Linked DNA regions of Caenorhabditis elegans. The protein of the gene in region 1 interacts with the protein of each later gene in a pairwise test. Each region holds a gene or a part of one and is shown on either strand. Other genes may lie near its edges.

Region 1 (3,758 bases):
TGAAAGTGGGTAAATTGCACATGAAAAGCTTCTAGAGACACTTACCAACTCCAACTCTTGGCAATTGATAAACTACTTTCTTTACAGCATCTTCTGAATCAAAAGCAAACATGATGGCAGCTGAAAATGGAAAAAAAAATTAATGAAAATTTGAATATATTGAGCTGAAAACAAACTTCTTGACGCAAGGAATAATTCCAACGCAGTGTTCTGAAGAAGATATCGTCGAAGGAAAATTGCTCGAATTTCTTGAAGATTCCACCTGGCATGTAGAGCTTCACAATATCGAAGAACCTGAAAATACAATATATTTCAATCTAGCTACCGTAATCCTTTTTCGGGTTTTCAACATCACTTTCCCCTGACCCACTGGCTCCTAATATCCGATTTCACTCGCTTTTCCTTCCCATTAATAACAATAATGTAATAATGATTGAGCTCCCGGATGAGTGCCCGGTCACTTACGAACACAGATAATTATGATGTGGGGAGGTGGCTGGTAGCATGAATGGACCGATTATGGATGGTAAACGGGAGAAAAAGGATAGAGGAAATAGAGGATAAACGATTTGGGTGATTCAGTGAAATCCGGTGACATATGGGGGTGAAAATTGAGATTACTATTGGTCTGTTAGAATTATTTTTCGTGTCATATTTGACACCTCCTTAATTAAAAAAAACTTTATTTTCTGCAGTTATCCTTCTATTAAAATTTTCCACCAAGAAAGTATTAACTTATTTTTCGACACCAATGATATAGTATTTTAAATTTTTTTCTATTTTATTAAGAAATCCTTGAAAGTTTACGAAGTACGGTAGTAGGAAACAATAAAAACAGAACGTTATTGTTCACCATAGCCCGACATCTACTGGGTTCCGCACCCAGCTTTGGTCATGGGGACCCTGTAGATGTCGGACCACAATAAAGAGGAAGACCACCTGGAAAAAAGCCTTAAAAAGCCTTCATACTTTATCTCTAATTTTATTCACTATTCTGAACCCATCGTTCTACACATTTGCAATAGTCGAAACTACTCCATCTCTTGCACAGAAGCAAATCTCCTTTTCATCTGTACGGTGCAATCTTATCACATAGTAACAATCTATATCTCTTCCGGTATGCAAACTTTGACAGCTTACGTAATCAGTGTGATGCGTGTAGGATGTGCACTGTCAAAAGGTCACTAGGGACCCATTTGGAGGACCCTATAGGTTTGTTGTATAAGATCGATTTGAAAAAAAATTGTTGAACAATTCTCGAAGACAAGTGCACTGCTCCAAAGACACGGTAGACACCAGAAGAATTGGTCGATGAGGTTATTCAAAATTTATAATAACCAACGGTATACATTGAATATTAAAAGGATATATAACCTAAATTCTCACACATTTAGATTGCCCAGAATATAATTTTCTAGTCCTTCCAGAAAATATCGAAATGTACCTTTTTTCTTGGCTCCCATCTCGATTTCACTAGACACCACCGCCATCATAATATCATCTATCATTTATCAATATTCTCATCATCATCTTCAGGGTCGTAGCCCGGTAATAAGGTGGGCCTTCAGGAGGTGATGATAAGACGCGTGTGATATGAGAAAGAGGGGAACCAAAAGATACAGAGCGGGTAATGATTGACACACCTTGTTATCTTTATCTCTCTATTTTATATACTCTCCGTGTTCAGTGGGTCTTTGTGGTGGGCGCCAGGTTCCCAGGTTGAAACAATCTCTGTACATCCCTACTCTCCTTCTCTCTCCGTCTCCACTATCTCCATCTACACCTAGGCTCCGCCCACTTTTTGCCTGAGGACTCCTCTTTCTTCGTAGCTGCCCATCATCTTCATCATCATCGAAAAAAGAACACACACACGCATATCTGTTTGTGTGCATTTTTTCCCGGTTTCCGCTTGTCCAACATGCTAGGACATAACCAGAACGTTGTTTATCAGGTGAGTATGCTTCATCTTTTCGATAATCTTTATTTTGGTTTAGGTGAATAACTATTTCAACGAAAAAGTTCAACATCGTAAAGTTCGTGTCACAAAAACAGTACAAAGAATCGCCAAAGTGGTACAAGAAATATTGAAAGAAGTTGAAGCACAAGAACCTCGATTCATTAATACATTAAGTGAAACTACAACTGGAAGATTCGATGGAGTAAGTTTTGATTCTTCTGTCAATGTAATAAATTTCATTTTTAGATTGTGGTACATTCTCCATCCGAGTATGAGGCAGTGCTATACCTCAACCAGATGGGTGTCTTCAATTTTGTTGACGACGGAACAATTCAAGGATGTGCAGTTCTCAAACTAAGTGATGGTCGGAAAAGATCAATGTCCCTTTGGGTCGAGTTCATTACTGCTTCTGGATATTTATCAGCTCGCAAGATTCGCCACCGATTCCAAAATATTGTGGCTCAAGTTTTACAAACTCCACAATTCAGGTATTCAAATTTACTTTTCTACATTCTGAAAATATTTTAATTGCAGTGATTACTGTAAGTTGCTACAAGATAACACTGATGTGAGAGTTCGAGTAGATGACAAGTACACCGTTCAAATTACTTGTGCATTTCGATGCAACGGAATCTGGCCTCGATCAGCGAGTCATTGGCCAATTGCAGGACTTCCATGGCCGAACGCCGCGTTGGCGAATCAGACAAAAGCCGAGGGATTCGACTTGACGAGTCGTGAAACTGCAATCACTCAACAAAATAATCCGAATAAGCAAGCGAGCAGTATGGAAGCCGATGCCTGGGCAATGAAGATGCATGGTGCAGAGAACATGTTACTAACTGGAGGTCGGCGGAAGACATTGAGCATTCTGAAATGTCTTCGAGATGCTCACATGGACTTTCCGGGAACACCAGTAACAAACTACATACTGAAGACATTGGTATTGTACGAATGTGAGAAGCACTGTAGTGAATACGAATGGGAAGATCCAAATATCGGAGATCGCCTTGTCGGTGGGTATATTTATTCAAAATTTCTTTCTCCATAATTTGTTCAAAAATTGTGTGACCATTCGCCAAGAAAATAGAAGAAAAAACGCCATCGCGTGTCACAAGAAGAACGATGTCGTCGTCTTCTTGAGCTTTTTCATTTTTTTTCTTCTAGGTGCTCTATACTCTCTTTCTCTCATCACTTTTCCCTTCTATTTTAGTGCCATGGCATGCATTCCTAATGCATTCTTTCGGAAAAAATGCGTGCACGTACAAGTACAACACATAGAAAGGAATATAGATGCAAGAAAATAATTTTGTTCAGGAAAACTATTAAATTGAATTAATATATTTTTCTTCAACTTTCTAATCAACTATTGGCGTGAAATCTATCGGAAAAAAATGAGGTAGAGAGATAGAGTGTAGAACTTCTGAAGAGATCCGAGACAAATGTGTCGTTTCGAATAAGGTTTTGAAACGGTGATGGGACAAACCGATTGACAGTTGGAATGAAAAAAAGAAGAAGAGAAAACAATGAATAGGTTTTGAAACCAAATCTAAGAATATAGATGAAGATGGAAACTGTAGAATACTAGGTAATTCGAATTATATTAACTTGTAGGTTTTGCGGAGTTTAGAAAAGAAGCATAATGTTTAAACTAGATCTTCAATGTAATTTCCCACAAGTACTGTATCTCAAATTCCCTATTTTGACAGCTTATATTCAGATTGGCTTGAGTTAAAATCAAAAATATTCCACTAATAAAAACGCGTAAAATTAATTCTCTAAATATTTTTTTCAGTTGAAATTT
Region 2 (3,758 bases), on another chromosome or scaffold:
TGTTCAATCACATCAGGTGTTTCAATTCTGCAAAAAAGACAGATATTTGTTTTTTTTTTTGGATTTAAATAAAGCAAAATTTAATCCGCATCAAATGTGTCGGTTTTACGATATTTCGGAAGATAGCTTGAAATTTTTTGCCTTTTCAAGTAAATTATGTTATCTTATGTTTGAACAAAACAAATGTTTTTTTAAAGTTTTTTGTAAATCTAAGAATATTTGTTTTCCCGGAAAAACCAAAACAATTTTTTTTGATTTTCAACCTTCAAAAATAAAATTCAAATTTTCAGAATTACCTCTGAGCACGAAAATCCTTCATAATTTCCAAAAATCGATGATAAACGGGTACATCAGATGAGAAAGTACTTTTAATAACTCTCAGATAGGCGAGAGCTTCATCAACACGTGGTGGACCTTCTGGTTTCTTTCGACGACCTGGACGATTTTGTCGTCGGCCACCTTGTTGTTGACGAGGCTCACGTTGAGGACACCCTGCAGAAGTTGCTGGAACAACTGGAGGAACTGAAGGAACTTCATTAGAAATTGGTCCTTGTTGAGCAATTGGAAGGGCTAGTGGAGGAGTCTGAAAAATAGATTTATTGGTTTTCGGAATGAATTGTTAAATTGACGTAAATATAAAATTGTCAATTGCTATAAATTTTTTTAGTTCAGACATGCATTTCATTGATAAAATATCATCATCTAATATTTGAAAACAGTCTTAAACTTCAAATTTTTACACATTTTCTTCAAAAAACTTACGAAATGCTGAAAAACAAAAGTAATTCTGTTATTTTTTGAGCTCAATTGAGAAATATTAGGTTTGCGAATTTCGGGAAAGCAGAAATGAAGGACAAATTGTTTGGCGCTACAGTACTTTCTAACTTTTTAAAATATAATTTTCTATAAAGAAAGGTTCAGACCTTCCAATTTTCAGACATTTTTTAATTTTCAATCAAATAAATATTTACGGGAATATGCTGCTGATGCTGTACTTGTTGAACGGGAACCTGACGATGATGGGCCAGGATTTGTTGTGCCTGTTGAGTCGATGTGAGATTTTGAATATTCAAAGCTTGTTGCTGTGGAATCGGACGAATCAATGGAGATTGTTGTTGACTGTTGGCCCTTGGTACATTTGCAGCCTCTTCCTGTGCAATAAATTGTTCAATATTTCTTGCAGCTTCACTATTTCTAGCAAATGGGGTTATTGCCGGTGAATGAGATGGTAGTAGATATTGTTGCTGAAGAGCAGAAGCTGCTGGTGAATGTGATGGTTGAAGTGGAGAACCGATATGAAAAGGAATTGGAGAACCTTGAGCATTTTGTGCAAATTGTGCCTGAGCTGCTTGAACAGCAGCTTGTACTTGAAATAATCCTAAAGGATTAAATGGAAATTGATTGAGTCCTTGAAGAAGTTGATTTTGTTGTTGTTGATGTTGCATTCTTTGTTGTTCTATCAAAATACGCTCTTGATCACGTATTTGAAGTTCCAGTTGTTGTTGTTGTTGATTCTGATGCTGTTGTTGATGTTGTGATTGTTGAATCATTTGTAATAAAAACAACGTCGCATTATTTGTAGGTTGTTGTTGAGATTGATCTCCTCCATTGTTGCCACCGCCGCCTCCAGGTGGTGGATTGTACATTCTGAAAATCTAACTTTGGAAAGTTACCTTTAGTGAGAAGTTTTAGAAAATAGAGAAAAGAGACAAAAATAAGTTTCTTTATTGATTTGCTTTTTTAGCACATCCTTAAATTTCCAACGCTGTTTCAAGCTGAACGTTCAGTTTCAATTTTTTTAAAAATCAATCATTTGATTTTGTATTATTGAACTTAAAGTTTGAAAACCGTATATAGCTGAAAAATCGAAAGAAAATTTACTTAAATTCTTTTTCAAATGTTGAGAAAACTTTAGTCTTTGATTAAAATGAGACATTGTTACGAAACAGTAGAATTTTTGTTTTTCTAATGTTACAAAGTTTTCAAATTCGATAGGAATATTGTTAGTAAATGTTTGTATGATTAAAAAACGTTACACTTTGAAATTTTAACAAAAAAAAGAACATTTTGTTCGTAAATCCTGTGAAGTATTGAAAATGGCGCTCGTTTCTCTGCTGCCTCTCCTCTCTCGCTTTTGCCTTTCAGAGCGCGTTTGCATACAGCTTAAGAGACGCAGAGAATTTATTTTCCGGAAATATAATTTAACGAAGTACGCTGAATAACCTTTAAAAAGGTGGCGGAGCTCAAAAAATAATTTAAATATTACAATTTAGAGCCCAACAAATAAATAAAATTTTTATTTTCAACCCGTTCAAGATATATTATACATGAAATTATGAGGGAGTTCAATAAATATTCAAAAAATTGAATTTCAACTGCTTAAATAATTAATTACATTCCTATTTCTACAAACGGTGAGGCAGTTGATCGTGTCGATGTATCCGTCGGGATCACACGTGTGGGGATGATCGTCGAATAAAGCTGTTTTCCTCTTTTGTCAAAGAAATCGAGTCGAGCATTGTAATGTCCAAATTCTGCATATATTAAGCCGCCTTTACGGAATCCGAGCTGCGAAACTGGTGACCACGAGAACCATGATTTTTCCGGATAACTGAAAGTTTGTTGAAATTACTTTTTAATGCTTTCAATCTTCACTTGAACTTCAACGTATCCCTACTGAATTCTTTAATATGCTTCGTTGATGCATCTGCTCGAGAAGCTGCTCCAGACACAACATAGTTAATTATATGCTCTCCATACCCGGGAAAAGTGAAATGCTGAAACATTTATAAAGTAATTTGAATTAAAATTACTAAGGTAAACCTGCAACGAATGGTCGTGTCCTGAGAAGTAAGCATTCACATTAAATCGTTTTAAAAGTGGATCCAAACGTTGACGTAAACAGTCAGTTGGACCATGTGATGACATAGAATGAACAGGATAATGACCAGAAATTATTAGGTATTGGGCACTGAAAGAGGATTTTTAAAATAAATTTCCATTACCCAGAAGCGAAATCTTCCGATTTCTGGGCCAGGCATAAGATGCACGGTCTCGGCACGACTAAATTTTGTTGAATGCAAAAATGTGCGCCTTTTTTTTTAATCTTGAATATAACAATTTAAAAATAGATGAAAATTCCGCAACAAGAGTTAAAAATTACAGTACTTTAAAGGTGCATACCTGTTTTTATTTTACAAAAAGGTCGTGGCGAGGTCATTTTTTGAAAAAATCCAAAATTCCTAACCTGCTTGCTTCTAAGTTATTCTCCAACCATGCCCATTGTTCTTCAGCGGCAGTTATATTAACAGGACCACGTGGATCATGTGATTCATTACGTAACATTTCAATAAAACCAGCATTTTGAATATCCTTTGTATTTCCACATAAGGAAATTGTATCAATCATTAAAAAATCGATAGAAGTACCATTGAATTCTACTGATTTCTTATAGTAAAGTGATGGAAAATACCACTTTTTACTATGTTTTGTATATTCAATCTCGGCGGTCACATTTCCAAAATGATCATGATTTCCGGCTATTGTGAGCCATGGAACTTGTAGACTCGGATTCGTGTAGACATTTTCGAAACGTGACTGAAATATTTTAAATTTAGAGGGATTTACTAAAATTTTGGGTTAAAAAAAAGTACAAACCTCGAATCTTGGATCAAATTCATCAGTGGGTCCCGTAAAATATATGTTATCACCCATATTTAATATCATTTGAACACTATGTTCATCTGCTAATGATGCCA

Evidence for each region.
Region 2: the proteins of mab-21 (region 1) and sin-3 interact in a two-hybrid assay, tested with the Caenorhabditis elegans proteins (one study listed by BioGRID).

Annotation. Positions count from the first base shown.
Region 1 is NC_003281.10:4,598,902-4,602,659, forward strand, and holds the start of mab-21 (Protein male abnormal 21), read left to right. Parts: upstream 1-1,835; 5' UTR 1,836-1,918; coding exon 1,919-1,951; intron 1,952-1,994; coding exon 1,995-2,159; intron 2,160-2,203; coding exon 2,204-2,445; intron 2,446-2,491; coding exon 2,492-2,970; intron 2,971-3,758. Other genes in the region: sel-2 (Putative neurobeachin homolog), read right to left, coding at 46-120, 177-294. UniProt on the Caenorhabditis elegans protein: Acts in a cell autonomous fashion to specify the properties of the sensory ray and non-autonomously in the choice of hypodermal versus neuroblast cell fate.
Region 2 is NC_003279.8:8,414,720-8,418,477, reverse strand, and holds the start of sin-3 (Paired amphipathic helix protein sin-3), read right to left. Parts: upstream 1,648-3,758; 5' UTR 1,647-1,647; coding exon 972-1,646; intron 584-971; coding exon 297-583; intron 28-296; coding exon 1-27. Other genes in the region: F02E9.7 (Tartrate-resistant acid phosphatase type 5), read right to left, coding at 2,392-2,611, 2,656-2,777, 2,824-2,971, 3,248-3,597, 3,658-3,758. UniProt on the Caenorhabditis elegans protein: Probable transcriptional repressor required for the deposition of dimethylated 'Lys-9' of histone H3 (H3K9me2) on asynapsed chromosome pairs (both autosomes and sex chromosomes) during meiosis, but this does not seem to solely affect the transcriptional status.